Schizosaccharomyces pombe: one gene and its partners. The protein of the gene in region 4 purifies or fractionates together with the protein of the main gene of each other region. This does not show direct contact. Each region holds a gene or a part of one and is shown on either strand. Other genes may lie near its edges. The genes, in order: tif223, lsc2, gcn1 and ade3.

Region 1 (7,272 bases), 4.0 Mb from region 4:
GGAGCTTATACCACCTGATTGTCTTGAAGTATTTCGGAATTCCGATGTAAAATTCTATGATGGTTGCTTAACGGTTCGTATAATAGATCATCGGCAAAGTCCTTCTGCTGATCAGACTGTGCAACCTCAGCCTGGCTCTACTAATCAACAGCAGCAAAATAACACCAACCCAATTAATAATCAACCTGAAGATACCAAACCCAATACTAATTCACCTCCAGTGTATCATACAGTTCTTCGTCCTACTCCCGAAACACTTTGGCAAGATTTATGTTTACTTTCAGAAAGCTTTGCTAACTCACTTTCGGATGAAGCTGTTTTGACTTTGGAATCCAACATTCTACTAGCGTCAGAAGCTCCACTTTTCTTAACTCCTGCGAAGTCTAAAGCGGAAATGATTCAATTTATGAACCAGTTGGCCGACTCTGCACCACCATGCACCAGAAAGAAACCTCAAGGATCAGCCCAACTTGCTGATGAAGAAGCAGAAAGACTTGAAAAAGAGAACCTTTTGTTACTAATGGATGACCAAAGAAAACGCGATTTTCAACCTACCTTTCAAAGACTACAATTTATTGAGAATGTGCGGCGTAAACGAGCTATTCTACAACAAAGGCAAATGCAAATGCAACAGCAACAAAAAGCGCAGCAGCAGCAATCACCGAAAGCTCAGCAACCACCCGCACATTTGGTTCAGTCTGCTCCAGTTCAAAGAAAAACTACACCCAAAATCCAACGTCTACCACCTAGTAGTATTCAAATTCCCCCTCCGAAACCTATGCAGAAATTCCCAGCTAATGCGGCATCTTCTGAATCGCCCCCCAATGCGACTGGTAAGTGTATTAAAGGCTTATTTCAGTACTTTTTGAGTTCAATTCAATTTTATTTTAATTTTGTATTTATTTTTCTAACAGCTTTAGGAAACTTTTTACCTTCGGGTCCTGTACCTGCAAATGAACCTATGTTAAAACGAGAATCCGTGGATTTGATAAAAATACGACAACTTGCAATTTTGTTTCAACAGCGTGCCTCTCAATTAAAAGCTAGAGGTGCTACACGGGAACAAATTACTGAAATTCTGAATCGTCAAGCAATAGCCGCTGGTACTGATTTGGCAACAGTAATGACGGTTGCACGAAATCTTCATTTTCAACAACTCCAAATGAGACAGCAGCAACAACAGCAGCAAATGAAGGCTGAAAGGTAACTCTCAAATGCTTCATCATTTAATACACGAATTTAGTTTTTTATTTATTATTTTTAAAATTTTATTTTTTTTGTTGCATAAATACGTTTTTTTACTTCACTTCATTTTCCTCTATAAAAACTTTTTTGCTCATGGAACAACTTGGCGTTTTCACTTACCAGTGTGAGATATGTAATGTAGCTGTTTCTAATAACACCCAGTTTTAGGTAAGTAAAATTAATATGTTATTTGGATATTTTTGTATGATGACTATAATTTGCGATTGAGCGATGGTATTGCTCGGGATCTTGCCTGATTCCCATATGGGCTCCATCAGTATGCGACAAATAATCTTCTGATTGATTTCCATTACATCAACTGCTTTTGTTAATACGAATACCTTGCTAACTGTTTTAAGTTTTAAATATTATAATAATGGAGTTAAAGAACGTCCTGTTTTTTATGAACGTTAGGTAAGGCAATTTAATTTTCAAAACAAATAACCGTTCTGCTTTGCAATTGATGAAATATTTGCTTATGATCAATAAATGATTCTTTTATTATCACCAAGATCGCTGAGTGCTAAAGTTTTTGGTTATTTTATTTGTTTTAAATATTTTCGAGTTATTACTAACCCATAGCGATATGAACTTTTTTAGATGTATATGTGTATAACCTTGTATATATGTATAACTTTTTTGCATATATATGTACATGCGTTTTCATCTGTAATTTATTCCCCTTCGCTTTTAGCTAATATTGATCTATGAGTATATATTTTTAATCTAAAAATTCCTGACTAATATCACCTTTACCTTGATTAGTTTAGACACACTTTGTAGAGTAAGTGCACGAAATTTTTATTATATCTATTTCAAAAAAAAGGTTGGCTGACAACGGTTTGATACACAGTATTAGTCCATGTCCGTCTCAATTTTTTCCATATCAACCAGCCGCTCACCCCGAGCGATACGGCCAGCTTCAACGCGATGATCAACGCCAATTTCGCATTCACGAAGTTTTGACTTAGCGCCTATTTGAGCACCTGAGGCGACTATGCAAGATTCTAAACGTACTCCGTCTTCAACAACAATGTTGTCCATCAAAATAGAGTTGCTGACCACTACCCCTTTTCCAATTACACAATTTTTACCGATAATGCTCTTTTTAATGTTGCTGTTATCCTTAATGGTGGTACCTTCATTCACCATACAATCGGCACCGACCAGTGCTCTTTCGGACACGGTGACATCTACAAGGCGTTGTTCTGGAGTAAGTTTGGCGATCTAGTTTGCTGTTAGAGATATTGGATGAAACTGCTAAAAAGCGAGATGAAGCTCAGCTTTCGAAAACATACGCATTTATTAAGTTCGAAATAGTTAGGTAAATTATTAGCCCTAGAACAAATAATCCCATCTTTGGCAATTAAAGCATTAATTTTAATTTCCTGTGAGGATAATCCCCCATCATAATTATCAATATTGTTAGGAGATGACAAAACTTTAATTGTTAGAAAATAGTTAATTAAAAAAAGCACTTACATCTTTGAATGTTCTCTCGTACAGTAAAGGATTTCTGATATTGACATTTAACAAGATACGGGATGAGATCTCCACGAATGCTAGAAATAGATTCTTTCTCCCGGATCAAATCAATAACCCAGTGTTTAAATACAAATATATGGGCATCCGAAAGGTTTGTATTTAACGTAACCCTTGGGTGTTTCCACAACAAAGACATTCTAAATGTAAAATCACTGCCCACGTCTGCGGAACTTTTGGCATACAATAGTCTGCTCGTCTTCTCTTCAATTCCAATCAGTTGTTTTGCATCAATCTCTTTAGATTGACTTGTAATATGCTCATATTTTAACACTGGACTATATACAGCCAGTGCTGAAGGGTTATCAAGGCGAAACTTATCCAAACCGTATATGGGAGGGAGACCAACTATACTATCACAACTGAGACACACAAAGTCATTCTGGTGGGTATCGGTTAGCATTTTTTGTGACTTTAAGACGAGTAATTAAATTGCAGAATGAGAGAGAAAAGATCAAAAAGTCTAAGAACACATGCATATCTACTTATACATAAAAATAAATCATACCTTTATAAGATGGGATACAGCACGAAGAGCATCGGCAGAGCTTTTAGAATCATCTAAAATAGTCGGTGCTTCCACGTGAATACGCATATGTCCCTCGTAGCCAGATCGTAACCAAGCATTGATATGGGCTTCCGCTTCTTCCATGCAAATAAGAATAGCAGAAGTAAATCCAGCAGCTTCAAGCCAATATAATGGGTAGTGAAGCATCGGTTTATTGCCGATAGGTAATAAAGCCTTGGGAAGTGCATCGCTTCCAGTCAAAGGATATAAACTAAAACATGGTTAGTATTTTCTTATTGTTATTTTATCTTTTTTAAGTGTTGATGAAGATAATATGTGCGAAGTCATCATTATCCAAATCGTTAAGTAGTCAGTACTACACTTGTTTGTTTTACCTATTGCCAAATCCTGCAAAAACAACAGCTTGAAATTCAATCGGAATAGACTGTAATTGAATATTCCCCCGATTTCGTCCACCAGAAATAGGTCCAAGGATTGAAGGGCTACTGGCTAAAGGAAGTGCAGCATGCTCATACAACGACATTGTGAGATGTTGTTCTTCAAGGCGTTGGATGCTTTTACAAAAGGTTTTTACCTAAAAGGATGCTTTGAAGCCAAAATCTTTTATAACCTGATAGAAGACGAATTATTGGGTTTTTTTGCAGTACGCCAATATTTGATGAAGATGGAAAACCTTACTTTCCTAGATCCCTACTAACGAGCCAAAAGTTTACACGTTACACATCACTATCTGAAATAAAAATGTGCTGAATTTATATTTGTGTTTAGAAAAATGTATTCATGAAATATGAACTATTGATGATTTTTTTTTAAAATGATTTACCAACTCAAAATGTGGAGCTGCTTGAAAACTAATTATTGCTTTGCACTTGTAATTTTGTTTAATGTGCAATATTAAAAAAGATGTTTTAATAATCAACGATTTATAAATCGGTACGTTTTCGCGATCCTGGTTTATAATCAATCCGATAGTAAAAAATATCAATCAAGCGCTCAGAAAATGATCCTCTGTACACCAATTAAGGAACAAATATTTGAAGCCGGTTAGTAAACTATTATTTTGAGGAATCAGAAGATTAGAGATACAGTACATTGTGTATTGTTTTCATTAGTTTTTTAAGTTTAAAAACCATTGGACTACTGCAATCGTAACAAGTTGAACTAAAAGTTTTGGATTAGATTACCCATAGCTCTCATCTCGGTGATTAATGTATTGTTGTTAACTACCGAGTAAAGAAGGAAGAAAAACCAGAACATTGAAAGATTTTATAACAAATAAATAGTAATGGGATACCTCCGGTAAAGCTCAATAATAAGTTGATGTGTATGCGGCATTACTGTAACACTGCACCACTCTTAACTTCATCGAATTTTTTTTGATATAAGAAGGTTTTATTTAAAGATATATTTTTAAGCTTAAAAAATTTTTTTTGGCAACAAAAATAGCAAACAATTTAATATCATCTACCCTGTCAGCTAAGTAGCAAGCTATACCTGTTACCTATATTAACGTGCGCATATCCCACCTCTCTTTAAGCTTCTATTTAGCGAATCGTTCATCACAATCTTGAGCAGTCATAGTTTCGACTCATACTTCACTATCATTTAAGGCGGACAATAAATTAATTTATACGGCAGCAAAATTTTGCCTTAACAATATACCCAACTACGGTGTTTGTTCAGCGCGTACCTGAAAATCTTTTTTTTTTTGTTTCGTACGCGTTTTAAAAAGTAAGTTAATATAGATATTGATTTTCCAACGCCGCAGTACTTGCCTATGATGATTACCGTTTATTTAGATGCTAGACTTCTGAATTTCATCTTATGTAGCTACAAGGTTTTCTGAGGTCTGCTTAATTGATTAAAATTTTTTATTTTCTGTGATGGTAACATACAACTCATTTTACGGTCGGTACAAAAAAATTGAAATTATATTCCAAGTATTCTCAAACTTTGATTGCTGTCCGAATAGAACAGTCCGACTCATATTATTTTAATCAAGTTATAGCAATTTGACTGGGTGCTGTTTTTTCTTTTGTACATTTAAACCTATCATTTTATTATCTTTTGTATTCAATTCACAACCGAAGCTCTAACAAGTTTTAGAAAATGTGCGGAATTTTGGCGTTAATGCTTGCTGACCCTCATCAACAGGCATGTCCTGAAATTTATGAGGGTCTTTACAGTTTGCAGCATCGGGGTCAAGATGCCGCCGGTATTGTAACCGCTGGAAACAAAGGTCGTCTTTACCAATGCAAGGGATCCGGCATGGTTGCCGATGTTTTTAGTCAGCATCAACTTCGCCAACTCGTAGGTAGTATGGGTATTGGTCATTTGCGCTATCCTACTGCTGGAAGTTGTGCTCACTCTGAAGCACAACCCTTTTATGTTAACTCTCCTTATGGTCTTGTGTTGGGCCATAATGGTAATTTAATTAATGGACCCGAATTACGACGCTTTTTGGACACTGAGGCCCATCGTCATGTAAACACTGGATCTGATTCTGAGCTTTTGCTTAACATCTTTGCTTACGAGCTTCAACGGTTGGATAAATTTCGTATAAACGAAAATGATATTTTCGAAGCTTTGCGTAATGTATACGATCGCGTTAATGGTGGTTATGCATGTGTTGCTATGATCGCAGGCTTGGGTGTTTTGGGATTCCGTGATCCCAATGGCATTCGTCCTTTAGTGATCGGTGAACGTGATACCCCCGAAGGAAAGGATTACATGCTTGCTAGTGAGAGTGTTGTATTGACTCAATTTGGATACCGTACATTCAGAGATATTCGCCCCGGTGAGTGTGTCTTTATTCGTCGTTCCAATAGGGAAGATATACTTGCAGGGTTTAGAGGCCCTCGCTTGTTTTCTCGTCAAATCCTTCCCTGCCTAAGATTTACTCCCGATATATTTGAGTATGTCTATTTCGCTCGTCCCGACTCTGTTATTGACGGATTGTCCGTATACCAATCCCGTTTAAATATGGGTGAAAAGTTAGCGCATACTATAATGAAACGGTTTGGTCCCGATTACATGGAAAAAATTGATGCTGTCATTCCTGTTCCAGATTCTGCTCGAACCAGTGCCCTTGCACTTGCACAGACAGCTCAACTGCCATACGTCGAAGCTTTTATTAAAAACCGATATATTGGTCGTACCTTCATTATGCCAGGTCAACAGATTCGTCGTAAATCGGTTCGTCGTAAATTAAATGTTCAACCTCAAGAGTTTTTTGATAAGAATGTTTTAATTGTGGATGACAGTATTGTTCGTGGTACCACCTCTCGTGAGATCGTTCAAATGGCTAGGGAGTCGGGTGCAAAGAATGTCTATTTGGCTAGTTGCGCTCCTATGATCACTCATCCTCATGTCTACGGTATTGATCTCGCTGATTGTAAGGATCTCATTGCTTATGGAAAAACTGAGGATGAGGTTGCTGAAGCAATTAGTGCCGATGGTGTCATTTATCAAACATTAGAAGATTTATTAGATTCTTGTCGTACGGCTGAGCTGACCGAATTTGAAGTTGGTCTCTTTACTGGCGAATACACTACTGGCGCTAGTAAAGAATATTTAGTCCATCTTGAGCAAATGCGTATTGCTAACAATCGTGCTCGTAAGCATAGCTTTGCAGAAGATGAGGAACGTGAAGCTCCCGAAGACATTTCTCTCCATAACACACATTCAGATGTTACTTTTGATTTTGTTTAATTCCCCAATTTATTCAATGCTTAGTGCTTTATTATAATAACCAATCCTCCATTTACTTTGTCTAGATTGATGCTCTAATCCATTGTTGAATACTAATAGAATGTACAATCGCCCCATCAATGGTTTTTTGGTTGATTTTAATTTCTGAATTTTTGTCCTCTTGAAACTTTTCTTGAAATTAAAGATAATTTCATCAGCTCCTTGTTGTTAATTTTACTTTTTGTTACCAATTAATATATATTGTT
Region 2 (6,887 bases), on a different chromosome or scaffold from region 4:
TAGTGAAAATGAATTGTCATCGTCCCATCCAGCGACATCTTCATCCTGAATTTCTACAAAATCCTTCTCTTTCTTCTTTTTCTTTTTCCCTTGATCTTTTCGTAAATACTTTTTAGCAATATAGTCGGCGTTTGACATATGTGCTGAATGCATATTTTCTTACCTGAGCGCTTCTTAACTCGCTACCTTCCAACACCGGCGGAAGATCAGTATTGACATATTTTATCGGAGAACATGGATTCACAAGAGACAAAAGTTTTTGAAAATGTAAAGCAGGAAAATCCTGATGAGAAGAAACCCAAAGTTGAGGAGCCTGACTCCCAAAATAATGCTTCGACACAATCGCAGCAAAAATTTTTGGATTTCCAGCTTTCATGGTGTCCAGAGAGTGAAAGAAAAACAACTAAATACCATTTATTAAAATTTCACTCTAACAAAGCCATTGATCCTTCCAAATCCTTTGTGCCACCCATAAAAATGCAACGCAGAGACCCCAATGCTCCATCTTCGTCAAACGGAGAACAAAATGCAGAACAAGGAAGCTCCAGTAACGTGAACATCGCTTCAATCGCTCCTTACGGTGGCGCTCAAAACATGAAGCAGAATGCCTTTAAAAGGAAAACTCGCCAGGTCGTCAAAGTTGATCCACAGGCCCGCAGACTACAAGAGGAGGAGTTATCTCCTTGGATTATGGAAGATTTTGAAGGAAAAAACACATGGGTTAGTACGATGGAAGGCGGCCAATCGTCTGCATATGTATTGTTCATGTTCTCTGTAAGTTTTTATCCCATTTGAAGATGTTGGATGTTTATCATTCATCTTTTGATCATTTAAGATTTTTTATGCTTACTCTATAGGAAAATGGTTTTAAGGTGATTCCAACTGATAGATTTTATCGATTTAATCAACGTAACAATTTCCAAACGCTTTCAATTGATGAAGCGGAGGCAAAGGTCAGTCCTTATTTCCATCAGGTCTTGTCTAACCCATTTAGATGAATAAAAAAACTCCGATTCCTCGCTGGTTTATGAAAAAGGAGAGTGAAGAAAACTTAGCAGAGGCAGGCTCTGCTTCACCCATGTATAAACTTAAGACGGTTCCAAATGCACGTCCTGTAACGGGACCGAGAGCTAGTGGAAGTGATGATGAACTAGATTATGACGAGGAATTCGCTGACGATGAAGAAGCACCTATTATGGAAGGAAATGAAGAAGATAATAAGAAGTTGAAAGACAAGATTAAAAAGGAAATGCTAACTGCCAATTTGTTTGGTGAAGCTGATCAAGATGTCGACCTTGAAGAGGAGAATGATAGACAAATGTCGCGTGAAGGAAAAAAGCTGCAAAGATACTTAAAATTGCTTGAAAAGAATTTAGCTTATGAGAGTGATGAGGAAGATGAGGACCCTTATGCTTCCTCCCATGATGCGTCTAGTGAAGAAGAAGTTTTGCAAGAAGAAGAAGAATTGCAAAAGCGTGAAGAAAAACTAAAGTCTAGATTTTCTGCGAACGCTTCCAAAACTAATACACCAAGACCACTAGAACGAACGCCAAGCAGCGTATCTCCTGTCAAAGCTTCATCGCAACTACAATCACCTAATACTTCTATTCAAATAAGGCCTCAAGAACAACTTATTAACAAACCTGGATATATAATTCTCCGCTTATCAAGTGAAAAGTTATCACGGTTTGCCAATGACTTTCCCCGTATGGTCCCTAGCATGGGGTCTACAGAAACGAGTGTAGGAGATCAAGTGGAGGTTGTGGGAGATACTACAAATGTTCCAATTGATGGTATGCTAAAGTTTTACATTTACCAGAAAATTTATTAACGTGCTTTTAGATTCTAATCTGATTACGGAGGCAGAGGTAATGAAGGCTTTAAGAGCTGGTCCCATTTCTATTAAGGATCTAGTTCACCTGTTCCAACGCAAAATTAGAGCCGACAACAGAAATCGGTTGGGAATACAGAAGATCATTCGAAAGGTTGCTCGATTTGAGAACAAGCTACTCGTTTTAAAAAACTAGTTATGAATTATCTATGTAATAACGTTTATATATTAATGAACATTAAAGAAAACATTTGTTTTATTTTTGGAAACAAAATTCAAAATTGCATTAATTTAAGAGCATAGTAGAACTATTACAATTTAACATTTCCCCTAAAATAGAAAACGTCGGATTGTTAAGAAGTGCACTCGTCGATCGGTATAGTATCAAATACACGAGTTTACGATCGCGATGTTCAACTATGCTACTATATAACTGTAAATGTGTATAAAATATATAAAGAAGAAAAATAACAAACCATTTCTTTAAGACATGGTAAACAGCTGTGCTAAGAATTCTATATACACAAGTCATTATATAAAATCATTCCATGATGCCGTATGTCGTAATGATAATAAGAAAAGGGGGTTGTAAACAATTATACATTAAAGCCGTTAAAATTAGCAGCCTACAAAGGTAGCTCGAAGCTAACATTCACATCGGCTTCACGTGCCATTTCGACAACGCGACTGAAACGACAAGCCTTCTTAGCTGCTTCATCAAGATCATCAAATGAGAAAATACGGAGACCTGAGTTGTTGATTACCTCTTTGGCAGCACCTTGGTTGGTTCCTTGAAGTCTGCAAATAATAGGTATGTTCAGATTCAACGCTGATACTACCGAGATAAGACCTTTGGCAATAACGTCGCATCGAACAATACCTCCAAAAATGTTCACAAAGATAGCAGTAGTTTTGGGATCATTAGTGATGAGAGAGAATGCCTCACGAATTGCTTCAGCATTAGCATTACCACCGACATCAAGGAAATTAGCAGGTTCACCACCATGAAGTTTGATGATATCCATAGTGGCCATTGCGAGACCAGCACCATTGACCAAACAACCAATGTTACCGTCCAATTTGATAAAGTTCAACCCAACCTTGGCAGCCCTAGCCTCATCAGGATCTTCTTGAGAAATGTCCCGCAAAACGAAAATGTTGGAATGACGAAATTCGGCATTATCGTCAAAGTTCAGCTTAGCATCCATGCACAACACCTTGTGATCAGTAGTTTCAGCAAGGGGATTAATCTCTACTTGTGTAGCATCACAATCATTGAATACTTTGTAAAGTTTGACGATTGCGTCAACGGCCTTTGGCTTGCTAGAAGAGGAAAAGCCGAGTTTGTCAACAAGTTCTTCTGCGATATGAGGGTCAAGATTTGGACTGTTGGGAAGAGATCGTTTGATGATAGCGCTAGGATTTTCAGCTGCTACAGTCTCAATGTCAACACCTCCTTGGTCGGAGGCGACTATCATGGGGCATTGGTTCTCACGATCCATTAAAATAGCGAAGTAATACTCTTTACGAATAAACTTCCTCTCGCAAACATAGACAACATTGCAAATCTTTCCAGCAGGACCAGTTTGTCTGGTAATTAACTTATGACCGATCATTTGTTCAGCAAACATTCTCGCTTCTGTAGCATCATAAACAGGCCGTACTCCTCCACGCAGGCCACTGTCAAATTGGCCCTTTCCACGACCGCCTGCTAGAACTTGAGCTTTAACTACCAAATCTGTGACTTTAAGATCACGAGCAACCTTTTCTGCCTCTTCACCGCTCCGAGCAGGAGCACCACGAGGAACGTCCACACCAAACTTTCTGAGAATATCATGAGAAATATATTCATGTAAAGCTAGATTTCTTTTTTGTAAAAAGGGAGAAAAAGCGCGAGGTGCTTTTCTCAGCACACTTCTGGTTAACATGGTAGGAAAGTTGGATTGAGAGAATCTAGCGATGAACTTAAACAATTCTTTGATAAATATATGAGAAGCGTAGCATACAGATACACGTTCTTTTAAAAAATATATATAGAGAGAGTCTCCTCCTAAACTACAACAAAGAGTAGGCTGTAGAAAGACCAATACTTGGGTGTGAGTGATATTGTACGTGTAAACGATATGATATATCTGCCATGACTGGACAGCAAACATAGTAAATTGCATCGCATAACGCAAATTTGTTATTCGTTGATAGAAATATTGTTAACATACAGTATTTTAAGTAACGATATGCAGCAAAGAGTACTAGAGTCGCTATCCACGATGAATACATTCAGCATGAAAGATGAGCATCATAATCGTGAAATTACAAATGGCATTTTTTTTATCAAACACAAATAAAGCTACTTGCATTTGATGAATTGCTATATGCACACAATGAGAGTAATCTACCAACAAATTATGATAGCGACACAAATCATACATTATGTCAGCAATACTACACTACGCTATGATACACTACGTTGTGTATCACTATATGTCACATGTTCTAATTATATATCGTACCATGTATGATACGATATGGAGATTGATCTTAATGATAATCTATTAAGATCAATATTATCTGAATACTATAAATAGAGCTACTGCTGAATCTCGTTCCTCAGTTCAGTTATGAGCTATATTAGTGATAGGTAACATTATAACCCAGTTAATACAATACCTATACTCAGTTGCTACTTATACAACCTGTGTATTGTAATATAATAGATCACAAGGAAAACTCACCGTAGCTCTACGTATCCTTAAATCAGATACCAAACTTCGTAGCTTACACATTATCTTGTTTTACGCGTTGCGTAATAGCGTCGTGTGCAATGTTAAGTATTCAGCAGTTTCAATGAATCATCATCTATTTACACTGGCTTTTGTAAAGGATTTGTTAATATAAAAGAATGGCATGTAAGCGATTCTTTTCTAATGTTAATAGATTTTCGAATTCAATGAATGGAATTAAAATATCTTAAACTATTGTAAGACAGAAAGCTCCGATTTGGCAAGATTTTAAGTGACCTATTTGGATATAAAATTTTATATTAAGTTAGTTTTTCGATAGCGTTTAAAGAATTTCCAGCATGTTGGTATTAGTATATAATCCTGAAATTTCGCATTCGCACACATGCAAATAAAATTTTTACCAAAGAAATTATTAATGTCGAATATTTTTAAGCTTCGTTAGATTATTAAGCTATCGGCTAGGTGCAATAAGGTAAACAAAAGTCGGTTAAGCAATTCTTTTCGTTTGCATAAGCATGTACTAAAACAATAACATGTAAATGACTAGGATGTGTAGAATTTTATAAAAAGGCATACTAACCATTCTGTTTTGAAGAGAAAGTTGAAAATTTCTTGATGAACGCTGAATCTCTAACACGGGAATACGAAGGTTGGTGCGATTCATGAAAGTTCATAATCGTATAAATGATCAAAATTTTAAAAAATTTAATAGATTGTGATATTAAAATATTTCAAAAAGCAAAAAGAATCGTATTTTAAAGAAGCAAACCCATAAGTGTATCAGAATATTACTTCAAGCGATTCACTAAAGTTGTCGCAATACAAAAGAGAAACAAAAAAAAAAAAAGCGAATATGCAGTGAAAGCCTATACCTGATTTAAAAATATTCACATTTTTGCTTTAGTACCCTTTGAAGGAATAGATTTGTTGATTTACTTCTCTATTATGATTGCAGTCGCCATCATTCAAGGCTGAGCGTTGTTCAAAATGTGAAGCCAATGGTTTTTTTTTTCTAGCAAAATCAATTAAAAATCTACTTCATCTGACCAAAATAGCAAAATCACAACTTTCGTCCAAAAGTCACTTTGTAAGATTCCCTCGGTAAGGCCGCGCTGCAAATCGATTGCGCTCATAGTTTCAAATAGCACAACTCGATAAAATTCGCAAACAAGTATAATGTAATACTTAATAACGTTATTTCATAGCACGATGCAAAACCGTGATTTGGATAGAGCTTCTCATAGAAACGAGCACTTGCGACTCTCCTAACCATAAGCAAAAATTATTCATTGTCAAGTGAGTCGTTGAAAGGTTAGACGTTATTAATTTATTAACATGGGCTGGTTTTTTCAAAAGGTTTGTAAAGGAGGATTTCTCAGTTTTTAGAGGCTCAAAGTCACTAACATGTGATTAGAAGAAGGAGTTCGATTTTGGTGGGGAGTTGGATCGATTGGAGATGAAGCTGGAAGAGGCTCAGTATAATATTGATAATATTCAAAGTCAAAAGAAAAAGATTTTATTTCGGTATACTGTGTGCTCTTTGGCAATCTATACGATTGGTATGGCAGTTTGGGCAAGTCGCTCATCCATCCTGTTCCAACATCCTTTATTCTCTAAGCTTTTTCGAATCTCTCTATACATCTTAGGTGTTTTTAGGTATGCATTGACATCTGCCGTACATTATAGTTAGGCATTGTACTGCTTTGGCATGAATTCACTCACTAATTTTTGTTTGTTTAGTCTTTACATGTTTCGATGGGCAATTGCGTGGTTTTGTGAAAAAAGATTGTCGCGTGCTAGAATGAATTTACATAAATTAAATGCGGAAAAAAGAAAAATATTAGATGCTTTAAAAAGTAGAAAGGAATATTTCGAGACCCAAGCTCTGCTGGAAAAATACGGTGAACAGCCAACCCTTGCACAAAAGAAGCTTTCCAATGCCGCTGCTGCAAAAAGCGTACCAGGGTCTTCCTCTTCTTCTTCAGATCCCATGCATCCACAACATTGGTACGATCGGGTTTTGGAAGGTCTTGTAGGCGCCAACGAAAATAGCGAAAACAATCGTGAAGCTCTCATTTGCTCCCATTGTTTCCATCACAATGGTCTTGCTTCTTATGGAGAAAAGGCTTCTGATGTACGATATGTTTGTTTATTTTGTAAAGCCTGGAACGGTCCTCCAATTGACAAATCTTTACCTTCTTCGGAAATGGACTCCAATTTGCAAACAAATCCTTCATCTATTTCAAAAGGCAAAAAGAATAATTCCAACAATACTACCCAAAAAGGTCCAAATATTATATCAAGTCCTCAGGTTA
Region 3 (7,713 bases), 900 kb from region 4:
CTTTTTGGGAAGCATCAGTTACTGGAATTTGTGCCTCCGCTTCCGAAGCAGTTAACAAGAACTCCAAGAAGGGTAATAGCAAATTGGACGAAAGATATTTGGAAATGTGAAAAAAGGATACGGCTACTGATTCTCTAGCTATACGCCCCAAATCGCGTCCAATAGTTTCTTTCTTAATGATTCCATATTCATCATATTCGGGAGCAGAAGGTAAAGCATTCTCACGATATGTTCGCATTAATTCCTTCGGTATAAATTGACCAAGCTCTTCAAACTCGTCAAGCAAATCAATTAAAGATTTACCAATGATCTGCTGAAGATAGTCCGAATCTTGAGTAAAAAATATTTGAAGTTCAAAAAATGAAGTTTCGGTAGCATCAAGTCCATTTTGGGTCGATATTTGATGAGCTATAGATGCATTTGTTTCATTATCATCATACAATTCCAGAAAGATTTCCTTAATAAATTCAAAACGTGATAAATCAAAAGCCTGTAAAGCTTGCAAAACAGCTGATCGGATACTACTTTCCGGGTGAAAAAGATTACTTAATAATAAATTAAGTTCCTCATCGGTATATGTCGAGTGTAACCCTTCACAAAGAGAAAGTAAAGAGTTTTTATTTTCCTGATACTGCGTAGGTGCAATCTCAAGTAAGTGCAGCAATGATTTTATTAGCTTTGAACGCATTCTCCTTAGTGAAGCTGAGTAAAGTGCTTGAAACTCCAAAATTTCTGTAACCAAAAGTTGTAATTCGGCTTCATCTTCTTCATCAGAATTGGTGATATTAAAGGTCAAGTCATAAAGTAATGGAAATATGCATGCAAACATTTGTGGCTCAAAATAGTTTTGCTCAATGGCAAAGCGAAGTTTGTAAAGTATGGATTTTGTTAATTCCTTAATATTTTCAGAAGAATTTACACTAAATGTATGGGCAAGGATAGAGGCGAGACTCGATGAATAAGATCTATCACCTAATCGTTCAGAAAATCCAGAAGCTTTCAAAGTAAGCAGAAAAGTATCATAGGCCAAGTTTTTAAGAAATGGCTCACTATATTTCAGAACGTTGTGGAAAAGTAAGACATCAATAGCATCTTCAACCCATAGGGCAGGTGCGAGTTGCACAGCCTCACCTAAGCTCCGAATAATGCCTAATCCCCTTTCTAATGAAAGTGCAATCAAGTTGACTCGACTACGAATTTTAGCTTCAGCATCGAGTTGTGCATCAACAAGAGCTTGTTGATCCTTACTCAACTTCGCAGGCTTTTTAGCAGACTGTTTCGCCCTCACTTCAGCTTCCCATCTCTTAGTCTCATAATCCTTGGTATTCTTATCAAGCTTCTTTGAAGATTTTTTTTCTAAAACGTTATCCCACAATACACCCTCAGGGGTCTTCCAAATTTCTAAATCCGTACTTGATACAGAAGAAATGTTAAGGTGCAACAATTGATTACGGAAAACATTTACGAACAAAGGTATTGATTCTTCAGGAGCGACAAAAACAATCATGGAAATAGACGCAATAGCTGCTGTCTCTTTAGAGTCCTTGATAGCAGAAGAAAGTAACAACTCTATTTCTTCGATGATACTGTGTATGCGTTCAGAAACAAGAGTAGCGGGATCACGTTTAGACACTTGACAGAAGCGAATCCAATCAAACTTATCCTTAAATGCAAAGGAGAGGAAGAGGAGTTCAACCAAATATTTATCGAAGTCAACAAGTTCCTGGTTTGAAAAGTTAGAAGTATCAGCGGACATCGATGAAAGGATTAAGGATTGAAATAATGAGGAAATCTCATCGTATTTGGCTGAGTCAAACTTTCCTACGCTCTTGGACTTCTCGAAATCAGCATGATAATTCCATAGTTGTGAGCAAATTGACATACGAAGATGGGGACGGTATAGTATTGCCGATTTAAGAATCTTTAGCGCACGATTAGAATTTTCACGGCTAGCAAAAGAAAAAACGCCGATGACCGATTGAAACCAACGTTCAACAAAATTGGAAAATAACAAATTATCAGAAACTTTTGCAAAATCACAGAGGCCCTGAAAATACCAAAGTTTCGACTGATCATCATTAAGCTTATTGGTAATTTTGCTGGAGAAAATGAAAACATCATTATTTTTGGGAGTTGACAGTTTTACTAAAATGTCCTGCAATTCAAGAGTATGGGATATTCTCTCACTATTCCAAACAGACAACTTATTAACACCGAAACTTAAATAAATTATAGGTGCTAAGTATGTACCATTTTGAGTAGCACCAGATACAGACATTAGAGCCTTTTCCGTAAGAATAGACAAATTATTTAAAAAGAAATTGATAAATTCTATTTGAACATCATCAGATGCAGGAAGATCCCATGCCATTGTAGCTAAAGATGTGAGCCAAAACATCGACTCATGAGCGACAGGTCTCTGTAGGCTTTTAGAGAGAAAATCGTAAATTTTGTCTCCGGGATTACGACCATTCATTAACAAAAATTTCAACGTTTTAACAATCAATGACGCAAGCGAATTAAAATCACTCTCTTTTGCTTTAGTAAAAAGAGGTAATAATTCATTCAACAGCATTGAAGCATCGATATGTTTTAGAGAAAGACTCGAGAGTGCATCAACAAAAAGAACACGCTGATCGGAAGCCGTAACCTTTCCGGTTCTAAGAGAGGTAATCAGTTCAGACGCAACGCGTGAAAGTGATTCATTATCACTCGCATTAGCTGATAAATCCTTAAACGTTTGAAAGCAGTTTCTTCTAACCTCTGCGTTTGAGCTTTTCAGTCCGTTCACAAACGAGGTAAGTACAGACGAGAGAATCAAAGAAGAAGCATCCACCTTTGAATCCGCGAAACCATGAGCCAGAGAAGAAAGTATACCTGAAAAGATAATTTCTGGAGAGCGAAGTAAAGCTTTTTCAATGGAAGGAAGTAGGTATAGCTTCAATTGATCTACTGAAAGAAGCAAACCAAGACTGTAGCAAAATTCATGATACAAGTATTTCTCAAGTGCAGGTTTTGCCATTAAAACATTTTGGGCCATTATTTTTGAAAAGAGCTCAGCCTGCTGAGAAATTTCATTGCGAGGATTGGGAGATTGGTGAAAATAGTAGCATGTGCTAATAATAACACCATACAAAGGTAGAGATTTGGGTGGAAGAATAGCATTCTCGGTTTCTGTCAACAGAAAACTAACCAACTTCTTCAAGGAGTCCATTTTTTTGCAAAATAAAGAACGATAGCATCTCCTAGTAGACTTTATGGCACTGTCAGCAACACTGGGTTTTCCATCGCGTAGAGCATATGATAAAAAACTGCTTTGTAGTGGAAGCAGTTCTAAAATCCAATACTGTAGCTCTTTCTCTGGAAGGTTGGGAATCATTGAATTAACCCAGTTAAGACAATCAAATGATACAGAGACAGTACTCCTGAAGCGATCCAATCTTCCAGCGATGGTGGTCAGCCGACGAACTAAGAAAGGAAGCACTATTGAAGGTAATCTACTGACCAAATGATTTATTGTTATTTCGATTTGTTTTCGAGCATCTCTAGAAAGATTTCGTGGTAAAGTTTCAAAAATATCTTCCAAGGCAGCAATAGCTGATTCTTCGTCAATATCTGAAATGAAAAGTTAGAACAAAAAGAACTTCACCAGTTTTCATAAAATTAGTAGTCTAGAAGTCTAAATTACCTTGAGTACGACAAATATGCTGAAGGATATCTATCATAATCTTCTTCGATCCCAAAAATGCGAGCGAAGTATCTTTACTTAGCAACATGGCATAAAGCATCCGATCTTTATGACCATGTGCTTCTATCCCAGGTTCTTCGACCGACATGACCGATATCGGAGAAAGAAATGTTGGTTATGGACAGGTTCGCAGAGGGTACATTAGCGTCAAGCAATTTTCGATTACCTAACGAACTCGAGTTTACCGAACCAAATTAATAAGTTAATAGTAATATTCTTAAAGATAGGTATTTTTGCGCAAAATTAAAGAGTATAAAAGAAATCTAAACGGCTATATACCTGATAATTTCATAAGAGAATTTATTTTTTTTAAATTTTTTTTGGCTAATATCGTTTATATTTATCAATACTTTTAGAATTCACAGACAACTGCTTCCTAAATTAATTGCTTTATTTTATCAGCGATTTAAATGCACCTATCGTATTTTACGCGATTTTGGGACACATATTCTACAGGGTCTGTTGCAATTATCCATATAAAAATTTGTCTATGTAACTAGTCTTAGTTTCTTCTTTCTTTTTGATGTGTAACAAAACCAATTATTTGCTAAACAGTCATTTTATAAAGAGTTCGTTCAAGTACCAGCAAGTTAGGATTAATTTTAATATTATAGATCCTTTTTTTTTTTTTTTAAATTTAAAAATAATATTTAATATCAGTTCGAATTTAATTATATTTCCCATAAAAAAAAAAAAAAAAAAAATACACATTTAATAACGCATATTACATGTAAATATTAGTTCCCTAGTTTTTGCTAGGCTGCAGTCAATATTCTATATTGTACAAGCATTAAGGGTAAATTAAGAAAAAATCAAAGTACAAATGTTTAATGAATTAAATCTTCTGAATCGAATAACAAAAATCTAATATACTTGCTATGAAACTCTCGGTTGTGCCAAGCGTTTTACACTCACCAGTAACAGCTTTTTCTCTTCTTTGATCTATTCCCTTTTCATTGTGGGAAGTGTGTAAAGACAACTTGCCGTCAGCTACAGCATCTATAACTGCTTTGAGGATACAGTAAACTACGATGACTATTTAACAAAATCTTTTTTTAAAATAAAGCCATACTGAAGGATAATCGGTATAACAATGCTTAACATTATTTACCAATTCAGTGGAATTACAGAACAAAGAGATGCACTTTTTGTTCAATTGAGTTATGTCAACCACAAGCACATACATTGGGAACGACGGCATCGTAATGGATAAGATTAAGGACATTAAACTTAAGTAATGTGTAATGTAGTGAGATATCGATGACAGTTAATGTTAACGACAGCATAGCGATTAGTCCTAATGCGTTGCTCTTACTTTCCTTATTTTTTATTTTTCAGTAATTAATAAATTATCTTGAGGCTTCCGTTCCTTTTGAGCAGAATAAATCAATGAATAAAAAGTTTTATAGAGAAGTTAAGACAATTATTTTTTAATAATAAGTATTGCTAAACTGATAGATATGGGCTGCACATTAACAGTAAACTTTCCAATTCTACTAGAAAGCTAACAAGCCACCATTCAGCCAAAGACTCTTTCTAAAAAATTTGATTATATCTATAGAGTATTAACAGTATAACTTCAAATCGTAAACAATACAAGCACTAGCCAAGGGGGTAATAGCGTATCTTAACGTCCTGAGCACATTGCACGCTAACACTTGTAGTGCCCTAAACACAAATATTTTGCAGAGGCGAATCTGCTAAAAGCCAATAATTCGGTTCTTTGACAAACAGCCAAACATTAACCATAACTTTTTTAAAGATGTCTTCGTCTTTTAAAAATGCAGGTCAAAGGAAAAATCATCGAGAAAGAGCTCAGCCTTTTGAAAGACGAAAATGGGGTTTGCTAGAGAAACGAAAGGATTATGCGCAGCGTGCTCAGGATTATAAGACAAAGCAAAAGAAGTTAAAACGTCTTCGTGAAAAAGCCCTTGAAAGAAACCCTGATGAGTTTTATCATGAAATGACACACAAAAAGACCAAAAATGGAGTACCCCTTGAACAGCGCGAGGATTCAACCATCGATATGGACACAATCAAAATTTTGAAAACTCAAGACATTGGCTGGATTCGGCATCATCGCAATGTTGAACGTGCTAAAATTGATCATTTGGAACAACAAATGCATACTGTGGGAGCTCATCGGAATAAAAATGAATCCAGGAAGCACACCATCTTCGTAGACAATGTTAAAGAGGCAAAAAGTTTTAACCCAGCTGAATTTTTCCAAACTACAGATGATCTGGTTGGTCGAACCGAAAATCGTGTAAAGAAAGATCAAATTGAAAACAATGAACTGACAAACCAGCCTTTTTCTGGAAAATTGCACTCAAAATTAAAAGAAAAGGCGGCGACCGAGCTTCTTTTGCGCCAGAAACGCGACAAAAAATTGGCGGCTGCTGAAGAACGTGTCGAGCTTGATAGACTTTTACAGGGAAAAGGAGGCCGTCAGAAAAAGAAGGTCGTAAACGGAAAACCGGTATACAAGTGGAGGAATGAGAGAAAACGATAATTTCCTTAAATTGCTCCTAACATAATTGAGGAACTGTTTTCAGTTTGTTGTGTTTGTGATTTACTGGTTGTTATTTCGTTTCTTTCATTTAGTTGTACCTTTTTTGTTATTTATCATTTTCTCTATTTAGTATGAATGTACTTAGGTTTTGGAATTTTTAACGAATGGATTGCTTATTTATGAATAATTTGGTTTAATCATCTGTCTAATTCTAAGCAAATATCCATCTATTTCTCATATTGAGCTTCATAGTGTTGTGAGTCATTCAATATTACCGAATTATTTTATCGGTGAGTATTAAGAGTTTGTCTTAGGTTGTAATTCCCAAACTTTAAAAGTGTATGGAATGGTTTAATTCAATGCCTTGTAGTGTGATAAATTGTTTCCTTTCTTTTTGTAATTGCAGAAGCTAGAATTATAGTTGTTATTTTATTCTAATACTCTCTAAAGAAAATGTAAAGTACGAAACGTACCAAAAAATTCAAGCTATATCAAAAAGTGAATATCTATAGCACAGGATATAAGCTGAATAACAATGAAGACAATGCAAAAATTTTTACCTTAATAATTATACAATTCCTAGAAAGTCTTCCATAGAATGAAGAAATTTAGAGCAAGCAATACTTGCACTCAGAGGGTAGTCACTAATACTGATTTTTTCGTCAACCCAACCATCCGAAAAATCGTCCGGACCATGAGCCATAGCACCAATTGCAATACAAACCGATTGGTTGGGCTGTAAAGTCTCAAGATACTTGCGAGGAGGAACAGTAGGAGCATCAAAAGATAATGTTGCCTTTCGACAGTTCGGAGGAAGGTAGTCTGTAACTGGATTTTTGATCACCTTTAGAAGCTTTTCATTGCCATTCACACTACGAATAGAGAGCTTGTGAAGAAGCTGCACCATCAAACCGGAAAAACGTTTGAAAGTTCTAGGAATACGAACAGAGGGATTCACTTCAATCAAAACTTTCTTAGCTGTGTGAATGTACACTTGAAGACGACCTGCCTTATTCAGTGGAGAATCCAAAAGAGTCAATAAGCATTGATGAGTAATATCAGGACGCGCTTGAGCAATGTTACGGTTTAACTTTTTTAAAATACCTTGATGATCATCGCAATTTAGAAGTTGATATTTTGCATCCTTAGCCTTGCCAACTTTATAAATTTCCAAACATGCTTGGTCCAATACGACAATCAAACGCTGTGTTGTAGTATCATGAGAACCAATTGACCTCGCTGGTATTGGCGCCATATGGGTAGTAACACGATGAACCGACCCTGCAGGAAGTGGACGAGCTTTGACGGTTTTGGAAGAAGCACCATTGGGATCCTCCTTTTCTTCATCTGACTTTACTACATTATCTATTTCTAAAGCCTCAACACCCAACTCTCGATCGATAGACTCTGGCTTTTTCGAAAGAGCTTCAACAGAAGCTTGATTCTCACGAAG
Region 4 (9,239 bases):
TTATCTTTAGCTCCTCCGACTAAGCTTGAATACCATCAAGGAAATCTTGTGTTTCCACGCCGTAGTCAAGATAAATTTAAATCATTCCATAGTACCTTGGAAGTTATTAAAATATCTCGATTTTCAAATGCCCATCTGAATATGCAACTGATCACCTTATTGGAAGGACTCGGGGTTGAAAAAACCGTATTTTTGGAATTGACTAGAAGTCAGTTGTCAAAAATGAACGAATCGATAAACAGCAAACAAAAATCCATTTTAATGTTACGGGACAACGTAGATGAATATCACTCTACTTTAATTATTGCTGATTTTATCCAGGCCGGTTTCCTTGAAAGAGATGATGCTTTCACCGAGAATTTATTAAATCTATATTATGAATGGGTTCTTAGGTTAATTAAGGAAAAACAAAAAGTTAGTGTTCCAAAGGGTGCCTATTTACTTGGTGTAGCTGATGAAACTGGAACACTAAAGGGTCATTATGATGATGCTGTTTTGTCAGTACCTGAAATTTTCATCCAAATTACCGACACTTCTACCAGTTTTGGTTCATATTCAACTGGAAAGCTGAAAACAAGGGTTATAGTTGGATTGTGTATTGTTGCAAGGAATCCCTCGCTTCATCCAGGTGACGTACGTGTCTGTAAAGCTGTCAGATGCGATGAGCTTATGCATTTAAAAAATGTGATAGTGTTTCCGACAACGGGTGATCGAAGCATTCCTGCTATGTGCTCTGGTGGTGATCTGGATGGGGATGAGTACACAGTTATATGGGATCAACGTCTTCTTCCTAAAATTGTTAATTATCCCCCATTGCTTGAATCATCTCCCAAGAAGTCTATAGATTTTTTGGAAGGAAAGCCACTTATCGATTCGGTAAAAGAATTTTTTGTGAATTATATAAAATATGATTCGCTAGGTCTAATTTCAAATGCTTGGAAGGCATGGGCCCATGACCATGATAATAATCCGGAAGGGATATTTGGAAATGTGTGTTTAGAACTTGCAGAAATGCATTCAAAAGCTGTAGATTTTGCTAAATCGGGAGTAGCTTGTAAAATGCAAGCCAAATACCATCCCAAACGATATCCTGACTTCATGCAAAAAACAAAAACTCGTTCTTTTCGTTCCGAAACCGCGGTTGGCAAAATTTTCAGATACGCTGCACGATTCCAAAGAGAAAGTGGCAGACCTGCAACTTATAATCCGATAATGAATACTGTTTATGATCCTTGTATGAAACTTCCAAGGTTTAAAACTGAATATCTGAATGTAGCTGAAGAAGTGAAGAAACACTATGATAATGACCTGAGATCAATTATGGCTCGTTTTGATATTTCCACAGAATATGAAGTTTACACAGCTTTTATCCTTTTTAAAGATGATTTAGCTAAAACCGTAAATGAATATGGTCTTAGGGAGGAAGTTAGCTTTCAGTTCGACCTTCTAAAGAAAAAATACACTCAAGAGTACTTAGAGAAATGCGCTTTATCAAATCAATCGGCATTTGATTCTTCGGAATATGAAGAACGGATAAACAGTGCGGTTGCTGCCACTTACGATGTGACATACGATCAACGTGTCAAATCTGTTGGCAATGGCACTACTGAGGTATTGATTTCATTTCCATATTTATTTTCTAGTCGTCTTTGTCAGCTTTCACGAAAAGCCATGCTTACTGCTAATAATTTTTAAATCGAATATACATTCGAAGCTTTAATTGCTCGTAAAAGGCTAATAGTAATTGTACTCATTATCGACAATGGAACATAGAACAGCAAAACAGGTAGCTAGAGTTAACATTTAACAAGACTGTTGTATGTTTCTGCTGAAGGAAAAGAGTTGTCATAATTTTTACACATATACTCGATGGTTAAAGCAATTTAATCGTAATAATGTATAATTAACGATTTTTATATCTGCCAAGCTTAATCTAATTTTCACCATTAATTTAAGTAGAATAATTATAAAATTTTGTAACACGAAACAAACCAAAACTGTAAAGAAACTACGGCATGTGAACTCCAATTCAGCTTCTCCGGGCAAGATAAATGCTTTAACCAACCCATTTTCTAGCAGATTGGAAAAGACGGATCCAAGGACCATGAACGCCCCACTCGCTAGCTTTCGAATGAGGGTAATAACTGTTTGCAACTTTCAAAACTACACGTTCAGGGTGAGGCATCATAGCTAAAAAGCGACCACAAGGGGAGCGAACACCAGCTATAGCATCTCTGCTTCCATTAGGGTTGAATGGATAACGGCTAGTACGCTCGTTGTAGTTGTTAACGTAGTATATCAAATCCAAACCTTCCTTCTTAAATTGTTCGTAATCGGACTCTGAATCGAAAACAGCTCTACCTTCTCCATGGGCAACGACCACGGGTAAACTAGATCCAGCCATACTTTCAGTGAAAATGGATTTTGAACCACTTGTTTCATCGATCTTTAACATAACTGCACGACCTTCGTATTGCGCTGACTCATTAAATGTAAACATAGGCCAGCTTTTAGCTCCTGGAATAAGTGATTTCAGACGACTGAACAGTTGACATCCATTACAAATACCCAAACCAAATGTGTCTTTACGCTCGTTAAAGAAACGGTAAAACTCATTACGAGCATCTTCGTGAAGAAGGATGGAAGTAGCCCATCCATTGCCAGATCCTAAAACATCACCATAAGAAAACCCACCACAAGCAGCAATACCGACAAAATCATCCAAATGAACTCTACCGCTGAGGATATCAGTCATGTGAACATCCACGGCAGTAAAACCGGATGCATAAAAAGCATATGCCATTTCCAAATAACCATTTACGCCTTGTTCACGAAGAATTGCTACTTTGGGACGACTAGTTAAAGCCAAATCAGCGGTAACTGACACATTTGGATCAAATGTAAGGTGGTATCCTAAACCAGGATCATTATTATCGGCAATATTTTCCATTTCCTGTCGTGCACATTCAGGATTGTCACGAATTTCTTGCATTTTATAAGAGGTTTCATGCCAAATTCCGTGTAATTTAGAGCGAGTTGATTTGAAGATTATTTTACCAGAACGGCTAAAAGATATTGTTTGAGCCTGGCCGGAAAGTACTTTACCGATGCGATGAACACAAGTACTCAAACCATTAGCAGCAAATAACTCCAATACCTTGGCAATGTCACGATCACAAACTTGAATTACAGCGCCTAATTCTTCATTGAACAAAGCCGCAATATTATCGGATGACAAAGAATCTAACTCACATTCAATACCAACATGACCGGCAAAAGCCATTTCACTAAGAGTAACAAACAAACCTCCGTCAGACTTATCATGATAAGCCTGAATGTAGTTGGTTTTATGCAGTTGAGTAATAACGTTAATGAAATTCTTGAAAGTGTCTAAATTATCAAGATCCGGCACCTCATCACCCAACTGCTTATAGGACTGAGCAAGTATAGAACCGCCTAAACGTTGTTTTCCATTTGCTAAATCAATAAAAATCAATGAGGTGGATCCGATGTCCTCAACTTTACGTAATTGCGGAGTCCAAATGGAATAAAGATCATCAACAGGAGAGAAGCCAGTAATTATAAGTGAAAGAGGTGCAGTTACGGATTTCTCCCTACCGTCTTCATTCCATTTCATACTCATGGACATTGAATCTTTACCCACAGGAATGCTAATACCAAGTGATGGGCACAGTTCTAAGCCTATCGCTTGCACTGCTTCATAAAGTTTTGCACCTTCTCCAGGATGCGAAGGAGCTGCCATCCAGTTGGCGCTAAGACGAATACGATCTAAAGCAGGAATAGATGCTGCTACAAGGTTCATAATACATTCAGCGACAGCCATTCTAGCGGAGGCAGCAGCGGATACTAACGCACTGATTGGCTTTTCACCCATTGCGAGGGCTTCACCAGTGTTAATTCCCTTTCCATAGGACGTGACGGTTACGCCAACGTCGGCTACAGGTACTTGCCAAGGACCAACCATTTGATCACGAGCAATCAGACCAGTGACACTCCGATCTCCGATGGTGATGAGGAAGGATTTAGACGCAACAGCAGGCATTCTTAATACGCGTTCCACAGCATCAAGAATTGGGTCACTCGATGGCGCCAGATATGACTTCAAAGAAGAATCAAATTTAGATAAGGGAATTGTTTGAGTTTCAGCTACTCGAGACATCTTGGGAGGCTTGCCAAACAGTACTTCCATAGGCAAATCAATTGGAGTAGTATTGTAAAGTCTATCGGTCAAAATCAAACGTTGCTCTACAGTAGAGTAACCAACAACTCCATAAGGGCATCGTTCTCTTTCACAAATGGATTTAAAAGTATCCAGGTCTTCTGATTTAACTGATAAAACGTAACGCTCTTGCGACTCACAACACCAAATTTGCATAGGGGACATACTAGGTTCAATACAAGGGATATCGCGTAATTCAAACCGGGCACCCAAACCAGCATCATGAACCAATTCTGGCAAAGCATTGGATACACCACCAGCACCGACATCGTGAATTGACTGAATTATATTCTCGTCCATAGTTGTACAAGCATCAATAACCATTTGGGCACGACGCTGCATTTCAGGGTTACCACGTTGAACAGATGCAAAATCTAGTTCCTCAGAGCCTTCACCAGCATTCATACTGGATGCTGCTCCTCCACCCAAACCAACTAATAAAGCAGGACCTCCTAGAACAATAATAGGACTACCAGGTGCAATACTTTTTTTGAAAGCATGCTGCTTGCGAATACGGCCAATACCACCAGCGGCCATAATTGGCTTATGATAACCACGTATCTCAAGAGTTCCATCGCCGCGTGGAACTTCCATACAAAATGTGCGGAAATAGCCATTGATACAAGGACGTCCAAATTCATTATTGAAAGCCGAACTGCCAATTGGAGCCTCAAGCATAATATCAAGAGAAGTAGCAATGTGATAAGGTTTTCCAACATCCAACTCCCAAGGTTGCTTGTAACCAGGAATGTTTAAGTCTGAAACGCTATAACCGGCAAGTCCCGCTTTGGATAAAGAGCCTTGCCCGACAGCTCCTTCATCACGAATTTCGCCACCTGATCCGGTAGCGGCACCAGGAAAAGGAGAAACAGCGGTAGGATGATTGTGTGTTTCAACTTTACCAAGAAACTCAACCGGTTCATCCTTCATTGACCAGATACCATTGACTGGAGCAAACAACGTTCCCGAATTTCCCTCAAAGACAGCGGCGTTGTCAGAATAAGCAGAAATTGTATATTGGGGATTTTTTAAATGGGTATTTCTAATCATTTTAAATAGACTGTAGTCTTTCTTTTCGCCATCAATAGTCCAATCAGCATTGAAAATTTTATGACGACAGTGCTCTGAGTTAACTTGACCAAACATGAAAAGTTCGACGTCTGTAGGCTCACGACTCTTTAAACTAGGCTCTGAGGTATAGCACTCAACCAAATAATCAATTTCATCAGGTGCCAAAGCTAATCCAAACTTCTTATTGGCATGATTCAATCGCTCGGTTGCAGCCTGCTTGTCACCACCTTGCCCACAGTTAAGCTCTATTCTCACAAGTGGAGCTGGTTCGTGCTTATCAAAAACTTCATCCTCTTCCGGAAGTTTAAATCTTAAAGCTTCAGTCATGCGATCATAAAGATGATTCAAAGCAGATTTAAGCATCTCTTCTGAAATGTCATCTTTAAAAACTACTGAATAGGCAATACCTCTCTCTATACGAATCACATCTTTATATCCACAAACATTGGCAATGTTCGTTGCTTTGGATGACCAAGGAGAAATTGTTCCTGGACGTGGAAACACATATACCATCGTTGTTCCATCAGGCTTGAATTCAGATTCTTGCAAATCAGACAAAATTGGTCGCAGACTTTCGCAATTTAAAGAAGAATTGGACTTAGTATAGATCAAGTAGAAATAAACAGCATTTAGATCAGAAACTCCAGAAACTGTTAGTTCCAAAATTTTTTTTTTACTCTGAACGCTCAAGGCAGATCCACCATAATAAACCAACATTTTCGTCTAAAATGATACAAACTCCAAAAGTACTATTGAAATAGTAGAATGGAGATACAATTACAACCTCGCCAAATAGGTTGGCTCAGTTTATGTACTAACAAGTCAGGAAAAAATATGTACTTTAAATTGCGCTATGCAGCGTAGTATTATTGTTTGGTTCATCCGGGGGCAATCGACTAGCGCACCACTAAGCAGCTGTAAGATTAAACATCTGATAAAATTATTGACATTTGTAACCACAAAATCAAGCGAGCTACTTCAGAATTAAAAAATGAGAATTAAAGATCAGAAACAATTGATAGTTGAAACCTACTCATAAGTTATGTTTTACAAGCCATTTACCATGGTCAGTTAAACAAAAAAGAATATAATGAAATTTAAGTTGAGTATAATTTTTTGTATCGAAGTACCTTGACATGGGGGGGGGTTCAATCACCAAATATATCATCGTAGTCATCATCAATTTCCTCTAAATCCTCAAAGCCTTCATGTTCTTGACTTCTCTTCATTAAATTCCTCATTAAATCATTTATCCGATCATCTGTTGCTGAAGTATTCAAACCTCTAACAGTATCATTTAAATCTGTATTATCCTGTTCATCAAAATTCGAATATCTGTCAGATTCCTCTACCTCTTCGGCGTTTAAAATCATATTCACCGCGACTTCAGAAGGCATTTCTCCTTCGATCAGCGCAAAGAGTTTTTCACGCATAAGATCTCTAACCTTATAGTAACGACCGCTTCTATACCATCCTGTGTCCCGATGACATTCAGAACGTAACTGAGTATCTTTCAGTAGTGGTGCAATTGTGGGATCTACGATATCGCACACTTGATAAACACGATTAGTGGGAAACAAAGTCTTGCCATCAAACACGTGAGTTTTAGTCCCTTTATGTTTTCCATTTAGCTTGAGTTTAAAGAACAAAGCTTGGTAAGCAGCTGCATTAGAATCTTTTCTAGGATCGTATCCAAACCGCGTATATGTATCTCTAAATGGACCTGAAGTCCATAAATAAGAAAGGTAAGGAAGAGCAAATTTCAAATAGTGAGTATATGACGGGTCTAGATGATTTAATAAGGCTCTTCTCGTCCAAACGGGTCGTTTTTCAAAAAGAGGTTTTAAAGCTTCTATAACTTCCTGAATTGTCTTCGAAGGCTCACCTAATTTTGAGTGTCTACATGTAGGTACACTTTCAACCCCCATATTTGTAGTGATAATCCAAACTCTGCATTGACCTTTTAGATTGACTATTGTAGTTTTCCCATTAGGTAGCCGAACTCGACCTACTAGTGGATTTTGCAAGAAGTTATAAGACATGGGTAGACTTGTCTGAGAGAAAACAGGAGGAGGAGGCATGTCGACATGTTTTCTTTGTACCGGAGTTAGATCGATGGAAAACTTATTAATGGCGTTATAGTCAAGCACTCGCAGAGTGGAATCTAATTTTTGAACGAATGGTGAATTTTGAGTACTATACTGGAAATCAGCCATATCTCTGAATAAGAAAACTTGACGAATTCTACTGACATTTTGCACAGAGTTGTCCATTTTTTTAATCGTTACTAATAGGTCATTTCTGGATTGCACTCGAGCTTGTACTGGATGATGGTATTTATCTTTAGGCCTTAGATTCAACTCCAACAGAGCTTGTTTTGGGTTTTGAAATGAAGTTTGACATGCCTAGAAATTGTTAGTATTAGGTCAAAAAAGATTATCAAATTCATGTTTTATAAAAGGGGAAGCTTAAAGATGTAAGCCGGTCATTCCTATACTTTTTTAGCAATTTACCTTTTGAATTGATTGAACACCGCCTAATGTCTGAAAAAATGCATCCTTGTTATTAGCAAAGCCCGGATGCTCAATGAGTGCATATTCATTGTCAGAAATTTTTAGACTATTCATAAGATATATGCCTAATATGGTATGCTATAAAACACTGGAAAAAGTAGGGCAAAGACTTTATATATATTTGCTTTTAAAGTAATTTAATTAATAATCTGGATAACTTATTCCTCAAATGAAAAATTAATTGATACACATCAATATCATTGCTTCAAAAGCATTTTAATTTTTTGGCAGCTAAAATAATGTTGTTCCAAACCTCGGACATCGTACAACAATACAGTAACATCATAACACAAGATTTTTGCCGATCCGTTAATTCACAGTACCAGCCAATTTCCCAAGTACGTTATTTCATACTACCAGCCTTCGGTAGCGTCCCATAACATTCGAGCCACTCGCCCCGTTTTGCTTCATTTGCCAAACATAACTCATAGTAAAGTTGTCATTACAGGAAGTTTCAAGGTTAACCCTCTTAACTATTCCCTAGGGTGTTTAGCTTATATACCCATCTTATAAAGGGGCTCAGAATTCTGTTACCGAGGTTGTTGCCGTTAACTCTTTGACTTGCCGAGACATATTTACGGAGTACTTGAAAGGAACAAATCATTTATTTACCCACCACATAAATTTACCCTTTTCTAACTCATCATTGTGTACAAATTTATTAACAGACGTTCTTTTGAAGAAAGACAACGTTTACATATTCAGTAATAGGTGCATTCATTTAAGTTTCGAAATTACATTCGGTCCCAATCCTAGGAATCATTCGTTTTTTAAATTTGGTTATTCGCTATCTTTATAACTTGCAATTGAGCAAGGAAATCATCTCATTTGCCTTTTAATGAAAGGATTAAGGAGTAAATTTGTAAAAGCACTTTCGTTGAAGGATGAACAAGGGTCACATAAAAATGGTCATTCAAAAAGCCACTATATCTCTAAAAATGGGTCTTACGTGGAAACTGACGACGTGAAGCACACAGACACTCACCATTCTTCAAAACACGAGCTTAAAAAACTTAAGAGTCATTTCCTAAAAGATACTTTAAAGCACAAACGAAATCATCATGCCAACTCAAATAATGAAAAACATGAAAATTCTGATAAAAAAATACATACGACGGTTCTAGCATCTGGACATGAGGATTCTGATTACTCTACGTTTTTGCCCGTAATTGAAACTTCTAAAGTTAAAGACGCCAACCATTTCCCACCTAATTATCCAGAACCAAAAAATGTAAGTATACGTCGGTTAGTTTAATATTTTCTACCAAAATGATTATTTTCATACTAACTTACTTGTAGGATTCTGTATCGTCTAACATAGACGAATTTCCTAATGATTCCATATCTTCTGCCTC

What was found.
Region 1: the proteins of ade3 (region 4) and tif223 purify together in Schizosaccharomyces pombe (co-purification; one study listed by BioGRID). This does not show direct contact.
Region 2: the proteins of ade3 (region 4) and lsc2 purify together in Schizosaccharomyces pombe (co-purification; one study listed by BioGRID). This does not show direct contact.
Region 3: the proteins of ade3 (region 4) and gcn1 purify together in Schizosaccharomyces pombe (co-purification; one study listed by BioGRID). This does not show direct contact.

What each region holds. Positions count from the first base shown.
Region 1 is NC_003424.3:5,364,115-5,371,386, reverse strand, and holds tif223 (translation initiation factor eIF2B gamma subunit tif223), read right to left. Parts: upstream 3,983-7,272; 5' UTR 3,840-3,982; coding exon 3,691-3,839; exon of another isoform or gene 3,622-3,690; intron 3,567-3,621; coding exon 3,296-3,566; exon of another isoform or gene 3,173-3,295; intron 3,170-3,172; coding exon 2,728-3,169; exon of another isoform or gene 2,687-2,727; coding exon 2,544-2,686; intron 2,473-2,543; coding exon 2,101-2,472; 3' UTR 2,009-2,100; downstream 1-2,008. Other genes in the region: SAGA complex subunit Spt20, read left to right, coding at 1-833, 921-1,207; amidophosphoribosyltransferase Ade4, read left to right, coding at 5,426-7,027. UniProt on the Schizosaccharomyces pombe protein: Acts as a component of the translation initiation factor 2B (eIF2B) complex, which catalyzes the exchange of GDP for GTP on the eukaryotic initiation factor 2 (eIF2) complex gamma subunit.
Region 2 is NC_003421.2:2,156,471-2,163,357, reverse strand, and holds lsc2 (succinate-CoA ligase beta subunit Lsc2), read right to left. Parts: upstream 3,930-6,887; 5' UTR 3,760-3,929; coding exon 2,458-3,759; 3' UTR 2,063-2,457; downstream 1-2,062. Other genes in the region: protein Cwf26, read right to left, coding at 1-138; transcription factor TFIIF complex alpha subunit Tfg1, read left to right, coding at 235-774, 858-953, 995-1,793, 1,843-2,027; lnp1 (protein lunapark), read left to right, coding at 5,908-5,928, 5,987-6,228, 6,313-6,887.
Region 3 is NC_003424.3:2,223,505-2,231,217, forward strand, and holds the start of gcn1 (translation initiation regulator Gcn1), read right to left. Parts: upstream 3,887-7,713; 5' UTR 3,837-3,886; coding exon 3,689-3,836; intron 3,616-3,688; coding exon 1-3,615. Other genes in the region: U3 snoRNP-associated protein Utp11, read left to right, coding at 5,511-6,260; rRNA (pseudouridine) methyltransferase Mra1, read right to left, coding at 6,829-7,713.
Region 4 is NC_003424.3:1,327,206-1,336,444, forward strand, and holds ade3 (phosphoribosylformylglycinamidine synthase Ade3), read right to left. Parts: upstream 6,116-9,239; 5' UTR 6,029-6,115; coding exon 2,057-6,028; 3' UTR 1,886-2,056; downstream 1-1,885. Other genes in the region: RNA-directed RNA polymerase (RDRC) Rdp1, read left to right, coding at 1-1,695; transcription factor TFIIIC subunit Sfc1, read right to left, coding at 6,460-7,716, 7,825-7,938; serine/threonine protein phosphatase PP2A regulatory subunit B-56 Par2, read left to right, coding at 8,723-9,115, 9,184-9,239. UniProt on the Schizosaccharomyces pombe protein: Phosphoribosylformylglycinamidine synthase involved in the purines biosynthetic pathway. Catalyzes the ATP-dependent conversion of formylglycinamide ribonucleotide (FGAR) and glutamine to yield formylglycinamidine ribonucleotide (FGAM) and glutamate.